Linked DNA regions of Caenorhabditis elegans. The protein of the gene in region 2 interacts with the protein of the main gene of each other region in a pairwise test. Each region holds a gene or a part of one and is shown on either strand. Other genes may lie near its edges. The genes, in order: tap-1, F46H5.3 and lrx-1.

Evidence for each region.
Region 1: the proteins of F46H5.3 (region 2) and tap-1 interact in a two-hybrid assay, tested with the Caenorhabditis elegans proteins (one large-scale study listed by BioGRID).
Region 3: the proteins of F46H5.3 (region 2) and lrx-1 interact in a two-hybrid assay, tested with the Caenorhabditis elegans proteins (one large-scale study listed by BioGRID).

The regions. Positions count from the first base shown.
Region 1 is NC_003284.9:14,587,712-14,592,388, reverse strand, and holds tap-1 (TGF-beta-activated kinase 1 and MAP3K7-binding protein 1), read right to left. Parts: upstream 2,766-4,677; 5' UTR 2,732-2,765; coding exon 2,595-2,731; intron 2,235-2,594; coding exon 2,099-2,234; intron 2,055-2,098; coding exon 1,911-2,054; intron 1,867-1,910; coding exon 1,790-1,866; intron 1,737-1,789; coding exon 1,628-1,736; intron 1,584-1,627; coding exon 1,458-1,583; intron 1,285-1,457; coding exon 1,199-1,284; intron 1,104-1,198; coding exon 1,007-1,103; intron 854-1,006; coding exon 605-853; 3' UTR 568-604; downstream 1-567. Other genes in the region: bltp-3B (Chorein N-terminal domain-containing protein), read left to right, coding at 3,303-3,346, 3,635-3,740, 3,789-3,884, 4,110-4,183, 4,234-4,351, 4,401-4,511. UniProt on the Caenorhabditis elegans protein: Involved in the Wnt signaling pathway by regulating mom-4 kinase activity.
Region 2 is NC_003284.9:7,235,632-7,240,336, reverse strand, and holds the start of F46H5.3 (putative arginine kinase F46H5.3), read left to right. Parts: upstream 1-1,674; coding exon 1,675-1,713; intron 1,714-3,291; exon of another isoform or gene 3,292-3,435; intron 3,436-4,705. Other genes in the region: F46H5.7 (AMPK1_CBM domain-containing protein), read left to right, coding at 29-250, 495-512, 752-832, 883-1,042, 1,086-1,174, 1,222-1,327.
Region 3 is NC_003283.11:12,251,025-12,256,093, reverse strand, and holds lrx-1 (LRP X(cross)-hybridizing), read right to left. Parts: upstream 3,410-5,069; 5' UTR 3,317-3,409; coding exon 3,230-3,316; intron 2,733-3,229; coding exon 2,628-2,732; intron 2,546-2,627; coding exon 2,261-2,545; intron 2,079-2,260; coding exon 1,949-2,078; intron 1,749-1,948; coding exon 1,623-1,748; intron 1,576-1,622; coding exon 1,441-1,575; intron 1,395-1,440; coding exon 1,278-1,394; intron 822-1,277; coding exon 700-821; 3' UTR 644-699; downstream 1-643. Other genes in the region: T04H1.12 (Activin_recp domain-containing protein), read right to left, coding at 265-451; T04H1.5 (G patch domain-containing protein 11), read right to left, coding at 3,745-3,883, 3,967-4,522, 4,573-4,747; rad-50 (Zinc-hook domain-containing protein), read right to left, coding at 5,035-5,069.

The DNA.
Region 1 (4,677 bases), 7.4 Mb from region 2:
ATGCAGAAAAAGACCAATACGGAAAAATCTAGTCTCAAAATCAGGACAAAAGCGTTGATGTGAAATTCAAGAAATTTGATCTCACACCAGCTCAAGCAACTCCTCCCCCGCATCTCTCGTCAGAGATTTTTTTTTCAAAATAAAACAAAGAAATAGGAAAAGAAAAGTTTAGATCTATGTAGTAGCAACAATAGAAATTATTTTGACGGTCGACTTGAAAAATGTTTCTTGATCTTTTCAAAATTGTTCCCAGAGTTGAGATTGGTAGCTTCCACGTAAGGTGTCGAACAGGGCACACAAGTGGTGTCAGAGTTACTCATTTTGGTTTGATCTACGTAGATCAATAATACAAAAAATGCGGGAGAAGGGGACGCAGAGTTCTCCACTGATTTCGTATGGTTAAGAACGCGCTGACGTCGCATTTTTTTTGGGCGAAAAAATCCCGCTATTTTTCTAGATCAATCCGTGATGGGACATCCTGGCACATGGCACCACATAGGCACATATAACGTTACATTTGTAATGAAAGCATCATAATCATACTCCCCGCAAAAATAACACATAATACATGATAACAAATATTTATATTTACTAGCAACAATATTTATTTTGAAGGTCGAGTTAGAAGTAGTTTCTTCATCTTTTCATAATTTTTTCCAGAATTGAAGTTGGTAGCATCGACATATGGTGTCGAGCAGGGCTCATACAATGTTGCATTTGTAGATTCCATTGTCGAAATCGCTGAATCGAATTGTTCGTAAAGAGCCGCTTGGTAATCTTCCTCGAGCTTCACATAAATCACAGTCATTTCCTCTCTGTGATTACTGATACAGAAATTTTTATCGTCGCTCATCTGAAAATAAAATAAAAATAATATGGCAATGTGGAATAGCAAAATACATCCGCCCAATGTTTGAACAAATTTAATTGAATTGAGAAGAAATAGGTAAAATTTTGTAAATTGTATTCAAATTTGCTTATCTAAAAAAGGGTAAATCCAACAAACCGTGTAAGCATCGCGATGCTTTCTTGCAAACGAGTCTACCAATGCCTGCGCTGTACTTGTAACTGTGTGATCTTCAATTAGTCGAACGGATACTTCTCTGAAAACTGGGGAATCGATGAAAATTTTATTTTTTATTTTTATAAACGTGTGACTTGGTTATTGACGAAAAAGTTCCATAAGTTTGCTACTTACGTTGGGATGTTTTCAACTTCAACTTCCTTAAGATTCTGAACTACACCGTCGGAGATCAGAACCAAATGTCTCCAGGATGGGTCGATCTAAAAGTAGAAGTTACCTGTTGGTTGGAAAATAAGCATTTAAAAAAAGAAAAGAAAACATGTTCTCATTTTGTAATCAAATCTGAGGTGTTGTGACTAATATTTTCATTGAATTTGATCTTTTATCTTGTTTTTCGTAAAATGTTCCAGAACAACATTTCATCATAGCAAACCTTTGTATACTGAACATCTGGAGTAGAAATAACCGGTGGTCCTTTTGCATTCTTGAAAGCTTCCGTCTCTTCAAACAGGTGGGTTCGTTGTAAGTCACCGATCGCTCTAGTTGGATTCAGAACTGTCTGTAAACTTATTTTGTAAAATTATTACAAAAAAAATTAATTACCTCCGGATTAATCCCTAGCCCTTTTATTCGTACAATCTCCAAAGGATTGTCATTATTGTGTAGATTTGAGTTGAGCTGCACTACGTTCTCACTGTTCATAGCAATTGCGCTGAAAGTTTTTTTTTTTCAAAAATTCCTAACAAACAGTTTCAAAAATCTTACAGAGAGTTTCCGCAATTTAGCACATATAGGTCCTGGTTAATGATCATGACTACTATGGCAGTGGTACCTTGGCGAATCTGAAAATTTGGGAGATTATAATAATTTCAAAATTTAGTCTAACTTTTTGATTGATTTCCGATACTGCATTATTTCCAGTTTCCGACTGTTCCTCCAACTTTAACAGTCGATTGTTCAAATCATCGGTGTTCATCAACAAATAACGCTCGGCAACGTTTTCAAATTTCCGTTTAAATTCTTCCACCACCTGAAAATGTAGTTGTAGAGTTGAAAATTTGATTGTTAAATCACTTGATAAGGGAGTAGTGTTGGTGTAATTGGATTTTCTCCAAAAATCTCATATACCAATCTGTTCATGACAAACTTCGCTGTTGAATCGCCACCATTAAATCCGGAAAAAATACCGTAGAGTTTGATGGGTCCATTGCTGAAAAATGAAAATTTGTTAACTTTTACTATTAATGTAATCTACTAATCTGTGTCTACATGATCTTTCATGTTTTAACAAAAAATTACGATAAATATAGTTTTATTTTTTAATTGATGTACTTGTGACATTTACTTCCTTGCAAACAAATTGTATTTAACACCTTCAATGTATCGTTCCAAAACTTTCTCTTTTCATTTTTTGTTCATTGTGTTACTAGACAAGGAAAGTGTAAAAATTGCATTTTCCCACGTAATCGTTCAGTTTATTTTCCACTGAATTGCTGTAAAATTTGACTTTTTTCCTAATTAAGATCGGTTTATGTTTCATTTTGCAACAAAAAAAGTAGAATAAACTCACTGTATGCACATGGAGCACGATAAAAAATCGTTGTTCTGCACCGGATTTTTTTGTTTTGAGTAGCGGCAGCTGTGCACAGTGCCAATGCCCGCATCGGTGTTGGCAGGGTATTGATCGAGGAACCCGTCGTCCCCCATTTTGCCTGTGCTCTGCGACTGCTCTCCTGCTTATCTACAATCAAATTCACGATGAGTTAGAGAAATAATGACAGAGAAAACGATTAATACAAACGATAAACAAATTTGTTGATTGACTACTTCTACTTTCTTTTTTATTATATAAACGTTCAATGAGCAACAACAAAAAATTCTAATCAAATTATATTTTTATATTGAAATACAATTTAAAAAAAGGGAAAAATTCTAATTCTAATCTTCAAAATCTATATCCGGTCTTTTTTCTCACGCCAAAACGCGTTTCTATTCTTATCAAAAAGCAGCAATGGCTAGCCAAGCACAAACACGTTGAGAGAATTGGCATGCCGACGCGCGCACGCACCCTCCCAAGCATACACCGCCGCGTGTGCCAAACGCGCTCCATTGGCAAAAACCGATAGTCGCAATTTGGACAATTAATGCATTTTCGCATAAATAATGAGCACATTGTTTTTGATTCAATATGTTCTATTGATGATTTTCTGTGTATTTATGTAGTTTTTTGTAGTTCGCACCTGAAAATCGATTTTTTTTGCAGAATTGTACACCGAAGATGACGTCAATAATCAAAAACCAGCTAGTCAAACATTTATCCAAGTAAGTTAATTTTTGAGTGTATTGAAAAATATTAAAAATCGATGACAACGTCAAACATATTTTTTCTCAAATAATACCCTCCTTGTTTAGTTGATAAAATGGATGTTAAAATTTTTGTAACGCCACTGGGAATTTTGCCAAAATATGCTCCAAATCGCTTAAAAAAACCAAAAATATCTTGGTAATTGCTACTTGTGACAATAAGTATAAAATTTCAAATTTTTTTTGAAAAGTTTTACTATGGAATTTAATCAAGTTTGCACCCTCAAAAAATTCACTTTTTTTCAGATTCACAAAAAACTTGAAGCCCGAGCAGATATCCTTAGACGTGTTAAAAGGAAATAGTAAACTTCAGTTTATTGAAATTAACGAAGATGTTTTGACAGAGATTTTGGTGAGTTTTAAATGTACATGCTTTCCTTGCATAAACTCAAAATTTCAGGAGCTTCCTTCGTGGTTGAAAATCAAACGAGCATTCTGTACAGGTGTAGCTGTGAATGTACCATGGACCAAATTGAAAACTTGCCCAATTCAGATTGTAGGTTGTTTTCTTTTTTTTGAATTAGAAATTGAAGTAGACAAATTTATTCTCGTATTTTGAATAATTATATCAGACAAATTAAATCTGCCAAATGTTGCATTTTTGATAACGTTTTCTATTTTGTAAAAAAAAAGTTATAAATATTTTGAAAAGTGTCATAGTCTCACATAAACTCCTTTTTCATTCAAATTCATGCTTTTATAATCGTAAAAATAATTTCAGTTCATTGATGAAATCAATGTGGATGTGGAGCTTACCAATGAGCATAAAAAACAGGCAAAATCAAATCCACTTGGGTAAGCATAGTTCTACCATTTTCGAAATTAAACCCTTCACGTTTTTGCAGAAATCTCGGTGACAGCAGTTCATACGGCTTCATGAACAAAATCATCGAAAACATGTCTTTGTATATAAGTTCTGTAGAAATTAACTTTGATTCCGACGTATTCGGAGGCTCATTTATGGTTTGTGTTTGCTCAGCCGGAAAATGTTTTAATTAATGAAATTTTTCAGCTTCAACGATTGTCAGTGGAGAGCAGAAGTCCAGGATGGGCTCAAGTGAAAGACTTGCGTCAGACTAGAATTACGTGCTCGGAGACAAATAGAACATTGATGTTTAAGCAGGTGAATTTTTAAAAAGAAACATTTCTAGAATCAATTTGAATAATTATAAATCTAAAAATATCTCATCAAAGATGAATCTTAAAAAATGTGATTAGAAAAAAAATATTCAGGAAAAATACATAGTTGGATTTTTAAAATTTTCAAAAAAACATCTGATATTCAAATT
Region 2 (4,705 bases):
CAATTTTTAATTTAGGGTTTTCTTTCAGGGCCAGAGCAGACACCTCACACGCTGAAAAAATGCTGAAGGACAGCGAGAAGCGTGTCTGGGAGATCAACGAAGAGAAGAGCAAGCTGGAGTGGCGTCTCGGTGAGCTCTCCCAATGGTGGAACGATGCAAAGTGGAAGGTCGGCGAGTTGGAATCCTCTGTTGCCCTACAGAGAAATTTGCTTGACACGGCAAACTCGAAGATTCAAAGCCTTAATGATCAGTGAGTTTTCTTTGGAGTTGGGGTCAGAGCAATACGAGATTGAATGTTTCATGAATTTAAAATATCAAAAACGGCGCTTGTAAATCATTTCATTACATAAAAATAAAAACGAAAAATTGCATGAACATCTTTGATCACTTTCTAGAATTACCCAAAAAAGGACTTTATAAAAATCAAAAACTGAATAAATTTTCAAAATAACAGATAGGAAACTTTAAAGAATTTTTTCATATTTCATTTTTAGGTTAATACAGGAAGTGAGGTAAGGAATACAGATTTTATTGAACTACTTGTAACTTAACGTCTGGAAAGCAATGCACTTTATATTTTTTTTTCTGAAATTTGCGGAGTAGTTGAATTGAAAACAATACTAACTATGTTTTGTTTTTCTTATTTAATTTTTAAAAATTGAAACGAGTGTACAGTGTATTTGACGGTGTGAATATAGTGTTCCTCATCCAAAGCAATATTTCATTCGAAATCGAAATTCCAATAATTTAGGAGTCACTCCAGCACCATGACCATTCCCACCGACGGATTCACCATTAGCCAAAGCAACCAAGGAACTTGGAACCTTGCCAAGTAAGTTATACCAGTGGTTCTCTTGATATCACTATTCCAAGTATTTGCAGCGGAAGTAACCAGCCATGTTTCACCGGAGCCATCCCATCCATCCCACTTGTCTCAGCCCTGCCATTCGCCGGAGCCAATCCATTCATTTTTGGGGGAGCTAACGAAGGAAGAAATGTAACGTTGACCATTTCGAACACAGAGCAGGAAGTTTACTTGACGGTAAGTTTTTTTTTGCCAAATAGGTCTTCATTTGATTTTTCAGGGAAGTTTTATCAACTGGAAATGCACATTGAAATGCGAGAAACTGGTTAGCGGCAAGAAAGGAGTCACGGTCAATTTGACGCGTGGAAGGTAACAACATTCAAATTCAAAACACAAATTTCAAGTAATAATTTTAGACACGAGTTCCGATTCATGATCAATGGCGAATGGGCGACGTCGAGCGACTATCAACAGGTGCCAAACGGTTTGGGCGGACAGAATAACATTATTTTTGTCGAATAATAATTATTCCCTTGATCACTTAAATTGAATTATTTTTTCTTACCTGTCAACTTTGTTTCCATTTACTTCTCCTCATTTTTTGTATCTTTATTTCTTGTTTGTATTACATACCACTCCATTCAAACTTATGCAGTTAACCACTCTATTCACTAGATTGTGTTTAGAAAATTGTGAAGATTCTGAATTTTTTCGGGACTTTTGGCATTGCCATGATGTGAATGAATATTTTCGGTTAATATTAATTCAGATTTCAAATAACTTTTGTTCAATATGTAAAGTTTTTTTACTTAATTTTTAATAATTGGTTGTTTTTTCTCAATTTTCCGAATTAAATTTTTCAATAGAAGATGTTACATCGATGCTCGAGAGTATTGTCACAATTTTTGGTAGGTACTTTGCAGTGGTTTTGTTTCACGTTGACAACTACCCTCAATACATAATATGGCGTTTTATGAAAAAATTATAAAGAAGTTAACATATACTTTCGGGCACAATTTTTGCAGTACTCTAACTATGTACTTGATTGAAATCTCAGCAATCAAGTAAGGAGCAAATAATTCAATTAATAAGTTCCATCCTCTTTTATTTAAAATAGTGTTTTTGCGCATTAATTGATTAACTTTAGAAAAAAATCAACAAACAAACAAATTTGGAAAATGTAAAAGTTTGTTGAAGATCTAATTTTTTCCAAGATAAATTAATTAATTTACAGAAAAGTTTTTTGTCCTATATCTTTTATTTAAATGTTTTTTTTTTCAAAAAGTTAAAATCAAAATATTCAAAAATATTATGAAAATGTGCTATTCAAACTGACGTCCTACACGTTTTCAAAAATTTCAAACTTTAAAACACATTTCCATATTCACCACTAGAAAAATATATATTTTTTTAAAGTAATCAGGTGTTAGTACTTGGAGTCTAAAATTTGCAAAATTGAAAGACTTGAGATAAAAATGAAAATGACGAATAATTGAGAATGTGCAAGAAATATTTTAATTAAAGGCTTCGCATGTGTGCTGAGTGTTTTCAATGTGTTCCATCTTTGTGTGTGGCTTATTTTTCAACAAATTTTTTTTCGACATTTGTTTTTTTTTCGCAGAAAAATAATATGAAAGTTTTGCATTAAAAAATGTGTTGATCAAAAATCTTTTCAAAAGGTAAAAAGGCAACTTTATTTTTGTCTGATATATAACATTTTGAAACACCTGCAAATGAAAACGCAGTCAAATTCCCATTGCACAATGTCTATTCGATTGCTGACAAAAATATACTTTCAGTATTCAAATTAACGTTAATGGCTCTTTTTGTTTGTTTACACTCCCAAAAAAACATTGTGTTCGTTCGAACCAACTGTAATAGGTATGAGCCTATTTCAATAATTATATTTTTGTTTAATTCCAGCAACAATAGTTTTTTATTTGGTGACACGATACATAATTTGTTTGTTAATCTGGTATTTTTGGAGTTTATTCCAATTTTGATTTCGCGCAATCAATGCAGTGAAATAAACTTTGTAAAATAGAAAAAAAGACTCTGGAAAGCTTGGTGATTATGTTCATAGCTAAAAATATCACAAGTAGGTTGATGTTTATGTCTAGATTGAGAATTAAATTATCTTGATAAAATCCACCATTTTTTAAAAACATTTTTCTCAACTTGAATATTGTCTAAATTATAAATTTTTAGTTAAATGTTCTATTTTTCTACTTTTCAATATAATTTGTAAAAATGTATTTTCCAAATTCTCTTGTTTTAGAAAATCCCCAAATCATTCAATTTTCAAATAACTCGGAAAAACTCAAAGTTTTATTACGCGGAGATCAACCTTCCTTCTATCTTCCTGTCTTCTCATGTAACTTCTTATCCCGTATCCCTTTTTATCACTTTTTCTGACTGTTTTCTACTGGCTCATCACAACGTTGCGTGAGCCTTTGGCCGATAGAGGTTAACTGTGTAAAGCATGTTCGGCAACTTCGGGAAAGATGGATGCCGATGAGAGCAGGAACAGATGGCATTCGACGGCAATGAAATAGCAGATGGCGGTATGAGAGTCTTTTGAACCTCATCCTCGTCGGCTACCACTTTCTTTCTTTTCACAACATTTTTTTGCCATACTCTCCGATGGCCGGAAAACAATTGTTGTGTAATATCCAGCGTTTGCGTGAGCCACCGAGTCTTGTGTCAATTCGAGTAGAGGAAAAAAGTGAAGAGAAATAAATTACCCATGTGTCAATTGTCGTTGGTCAAAGAACTAGACTGAAGAAACAAGAAAACGACCCAGAACCAGGAAATAACACGAGAAATGATGAACCTGTTATTTAGAGGAAGAAGAACCGTTCGAAATTGTTGCTCAAAGAGACAAAAAATAGTCTGAAAATGGTGCATTCCATTATGAGACTTTTCAAAAATCTCTCGGACACATTGTTGCAGTCTAAAAGTAACGTGGGTGAACGCAGAAAAAATCTTCAATTTTTCCATATGGATGTGTCGGCTGGATAAAAAGCAGGGCTACATGTAGATATGCATAACAAGTGAAGTCTAACAAGTTGTTTTTGGCGATAAATGCTGAATCGCAAGCCACTCACAAACTAATTATTTTATGGAAGTACAGAAAAAAAATTATTCAATGCCACGAGATTTGAGAAGAAATCAAAATTTTAAAAATTGGACTTTTGCACACCTTTCAATTTTTTGTGTGTTTTTTTTTAAGTGGAAAATCTAACGAGTAACTGAAAGTAAATATCTTTTCGAACAATTGAAATGAGAAAGTGTATAAGTATTGAAAAATCTTTTTTTTTAACTTTGATTACTTTTGCTTCTCGAGTTAATAATGGGTAAATTTACAGATTTGTCATAACATACAACTTGTGCTTGTTTCAAGCAAAATGTTTGAAACTTAATAATTTTTGGCAATCGAACCAATCGAGAATTACCTTTTTCAGTTTTGCACACCCCACTTTAATAGTATTTTTTCACCTCGGCACATCTTGAAATTGTAGTAATAATAATTCAGTACAGAAATAAAAGAAAAAGGTTAAGTTTGTTGTGAATTATACATTTTTACATAGGACACAAAAGAAATAAAATCCCCCGAAGATTAATAATGGTGCGTTTATTAATAGAGGTTATAATGTTTTTTTTCAACAGCGCATAACTGTGTGTGTGTTTCAATTTTTTTTTTAATTTTGTAGCGAGGCAATTGAAAATATTTATTCAGATAGTATTATTTTCCAAAATGAAAGGATGAAACCGTGGGGAGGAGGCGTGAAAATAGATAATCCTTGTTGTGATTAGTGGCACATTCAAATATATTCGATAAGCCGTATTTGGGACAATGGTTGCCAAGACGACGAATACCTGAATTTTATCCAAATCTGA
Region 3 (5,069 bases), on a different chromosome or scaffold from region 2:
GGACCAATTATATAATTTGTTCAAAAATTGGCAAGACTTTGGTAAAACTTAAGAAATATTTGGTTTTGAGCGCGCCAAAAATTTTAAAAATTTTAGCTCAACTTTGTTCAAACTTCTGCCAACTTCTGATTCAATTTTTTGGACCAGAACTTAATGACAGTTAATGGTAGTTAATCAATGTTGGAACAAAAAATATTGAGTCGGAGACGGTCAATACGAAATGATCAATATTAAAAGTTCCAACTTCAAAAAATATGTGCATACCAGAATTCTGACTAATTTGCATTGTCTTCACACAAAGTGCATTATTCAAACGACAATGTGAGCTCATTGGTTTGACGAGAACTCTGTCCATGTATGATGTTGAGTTGATGCACTCCAGTGATATACATATTAACGGAAGTAATGTCAAAAGTGTGAAAATAGTAACAGAATATACGGAAATACTCATGAGTCTAACACTGGTTGACTTTCGGTGTCAAAGTTGAAAAGGGGTAAGAGTAACAAAAAGAAGAGAAAAAGAGAAACAGTAAACCTTGAAAAATAACCAGTCCCCACCCTTTTCGACCTCTTTTCCGTCAAATTTTCAAAGCGAAACTAATCGTTTTGTCAAATAATTTGAAAGAATATTTCAAGAAGCAATGACATTCATGTATTTATTTATAAATTAAGGGAAATCGACAAGAAGTTCAGCAGTATCTAGTAACAATATTTTTCATCAGATCCATCAGCACAATCTGTTTCTCCATTACACCATTGTAGACGTGTCACTGATTGTTTTTGATTCTCGCAGAGCAAATATTTTTGGCGTCCTTCTTGTTCTGAAATAACAAGTGTAGTATTCGTCAGTGTTTATTTGGACACTTGGCTAAAAATACTTTTTTTCCTATGTTTTTGTCTCGAACAAGAAAAAGTTCGCACATTGAAGTTGTGCCAAAATGTGTGGTTATAGTTAAGAAAGACATTCCAAATTGTATGTATTTCTATTAATGTTGCACTCCCAATGTTAGACTTTGACAATTAAATATCTCAGTTGTCTTTTCTCCTATTTAAAAATTGTCATTTGACAATTTTTTGAAAACTTTTTTCTATCGTTTGCAGTCAATTATTTATTGAAAAATATGTTCAATATCTTTAAATTGAACCGAGGTATAACCTTTTAAAGTGAAATAGTAGGATGCGATATTATTAGAGGAAGTACTGTACATTATTTCGCCACTTATAACTTTCCAGAGGTGTTTTCCGGGTGAGAAGAAGGGAGGCAGAAAAAAACTTACTACAATTCATTTCATCTTCTCCATTTAAACAATCTTTCTTTCCATCACAATGCATATCTAAATCCACACATGAAACACCTCCACGCGATGTTCCACAGACGAACTTTCCAATACAAGCTTTAATTACTTTGTTATAAAGTACATTTTAAAAAGTAAAAATTACTTGTATTTTTACTGCATCCAATTTCATCAAGATTCGATCCATCTTCACAATCATCAGCCACACCGTCACATCTTTTGTTTGCAGGAATACAATGTTCACTCTTCACACATGCAAACTCATCACGTGCACACGATGCTAAAGGTTTTCAATTTAATTGGCAATTGTTGTAATGAGTAACTTACGACAATTGTTCTCATCTTCCCCATCGGCACAGTCTGGGTGACCATCACAACGTTTGCTCACATGGATACAGGATTGAGGCATTGCACAACAAGCAAACTCATTTTCAGTACAGGTGTCTTTGATTGCTGCAATATCAAACACTATTTTATATTGGAGCTTTTTGTAAATAAATATATTTTATAGATTTCGAGAAAAAATCGATGAAATAATTAAGTTTCCATAAAATCAAAATCAGAAAATTGCAGATTTACAAACTTTCAAGCGCACCTCATGGTGCATCAACGCCATATGAAATTTTATACATACTCTTAATTGAATGACTTACTACAGTGCATGACATGATCGTATTCTGGACAGAATTTAATAGCATTCTTGTGATTACAATTTTCAGTAGACTTATCAAATGCTTGATCTTCGGACATACACGCCAGAGGAAAAGTCTGGCCAATTGAACACTGAAAATATGAAAGAAGTTCGGAATTTCAGAAATCTATTGACTGTAGAAATATAAATATTGATAGCATACAAATAAAAATAGCTTATTTCGTGCATACAATAAAGATAAGTTTCAATACTTTAAATTATACATTTGTTCAACTATTTCTGTATTTCAGAAAAATAATTTCCAAAAAATTACCTGGAAGAAAACATGAGAGCATGAAGTGTTGTATACAAAATAATCAATCCTTTCTAATCCATATTGTGCTAGTACATCATCTGGGAATTCTCGTTTATCACAATAGTTAATTGCATAGCTGTTGTCTGGTTTTTCTGGAGCTTGAGTTTGAGGCATTGGTGGTGGGATTGTACCAGGTTCAACGATTCCAGATCCACCAAGTGGAAATACAGGGTTCACAACTTTAAATTGAGGTTCTTCAGTTTCATAAATGTCTACACTATCCACATCTGGTTCGACTACATCCTAAATATTGTTTCTTGATATTCTGGTAATGTAAACAAATATAGACCTATCCTCGGCCCTGGCCCAAGCCTTTATAACTTACAATATTTGGATATGGCTGCTGAACAGTATGAATGCTTGATTGAGGATTTGGAACGTAGCCTCCAGAACCAGACGAAGCACTAGGTTGTACATATGGATAAGGCTGCTGGAAAATATTTATACAATTCACTAAAGAAAAACGATTGTTTTGATTTTTTTCAAAATTAAGTTTTTAAATCGTCTGTGAATCCAATTGGAATCTTTATGTTGCCTAAAACCATAATGATTTTTTGTGCGATTTTTTGTCAAAATTAGGTCTCGATACGACAGAAATATTTTAAATACGGTGATTTTAAATAGTACTGTAGTGCGACTCATTTCACAATTTTTTCGATTTTACATAAATATTTTCCTTGTAGCTCATACCGATTTATATGTAAATACGAAACAAATAGTTAGAAATAAAGCATTAAAATCGGAACGAACGAGGAAAAATTGAAAAAAAAACTTGAACTTGAACTACAGTACTCCTTATAGGTGCAAATCCCTTGGCGAGCCCTTCATTTGAACAATATCTTGGTCGTGGTGAGACCCTAAGCATTAGAAACTTTGAGAAAGAGAAATAAGAACAAATGCTACAAATTTTTGAACAGTTCACTGTACCTGCTGAGTTGCTGTGCCATATAGATCCTGTGGAAGAACCGGTTGAACGGCTAGAAGAATGAAAAATATGGACGTTAACCATGCCATGATTTGCAAAATGATTGGCAATCAAATTTACCGGAACAGATCGAGAGAATGGATGAGCAGATGATAAAGATGGTGGAACTTGATGTTGCTGCCCACTGAAGACTGTAGCTGAAGAAGCACAAGTGTCGTGTGTGCACTGGACTTTCTTCTTTTTCAATTGTTTGTGTTCTTTTCTATCGCTAAAGAAGCTTTTCGCGCTGTTGGGGGCTACTGGTGGTGCGCGGCAACTGATCGCCACTTCAAGCTGACTGACTAGTGGTCACTTGTCACTTGATACGTTCCCACCTTGAGAAACAACACAGGAGCAGACAATAATGAAGCAAAAAAGCAAAAAAAAAAAGTGACACGATGTTAGGACACGAACTTGGTTATAAAAAAGGATTCATAGTATATACATCAAGAATTGAGATTTTATGAAAATAATTAATCTATTCATCTTCTCCATGATGTGCTCGACGAGTGCTCCCAGGACAATGTTCGATCATATCTTCTGGCGAGGAAAAGTTGGCTCCGCACCAAATACAATAGAAGTGACCATCTCGAAGATAATTGTTGATAGTGGAAAGTCTGAAATAAACGCATATTTAATACTATTGTCGGTTTGGATAAATAACGCTCATTGAAACCTTATCTACAAAACAAAAACTTACGCTTCTTCTAAAATTTCCGTTGACATTGTGAAATCATAATTCGGATCTTCTGGAGCTGCTAAACCATTTGAGTACTTATATTCTTCATCTTCTTTTTCAACTTTTTTATGGTAAGATGTAGTTTCCTCTTGAGCAACTTTATAACTTCTCCAAAACCACGAAACACTGGGAACTTTTTTTCCAATTCGATGATCCAACTCTTCGCACACCTTTCGACAAGATCTGATGTCTTTGACTAATTGCTTTGAGTTGGCATCAAGCTTCCGCCGTTTGGAATAGTCATCGATCAGCTCTTCATGCTTTGCCGCTTGTTCTTTCATTTTTTGCATTACAGCCTCAACTCGTTCATTGCGTTCTTGAACTGCTTCAACCTCGTGCCCAAGTCCCTTCCTATTAGCCTTGATATCGACACCAATTGGTTCCGTAATTCGAATTTCGTCTTCTCTTTGCTTTCCCAATGTCATACCAGGTTTGAATCCCATTTTTGCCATCAATGCAAATCCTTTCGATTCGTGGCTAATCGGTTTTGCGAGCGCCTCGTCGCGACGTTCTTTTTCTGAAATTTATTTGGTAAACTACAAAAATAATATACTACGATTTACAAACCTCGCTCAGCATGACTAGTTGGCCTTTTTGGTTTAAACGTGTCTCTGGACTCTTCAAATCTTGAATTTATTTGTAGTTCTCGCTTGTGAGCTCTAGATTTTGCAATTCCAACTGGTTGTTCACTAACTCCTTGGAGAATTTCAGCAGACATGTAGTCATCCTCATCGTCAGACATTCTGATCTTGAATCGAAATTTTTTATGAATAAGGTTAGCTTTTAACAAGAAGAAAGAAACAAAAGCGTAGCAAAAAACGCATTAGAATATTGAAACAGTTAGAAAATATTTTTCATTTCACATCGGCCGATGCATCGGGTTCATCTCGTAAAATATAAAACATGAGGTAACAACATTTGGAAACTCGGGAATGATCTGACAAAGCATAAAACATAATTAAAAGGTGAGCGAATCAATTTTGAGACCGTAAAATATTATTTGTACTATTGAGATTCTTCAATACCATTCTAGAACCGTCTCTTCGTATTAACTCTTTTCACTG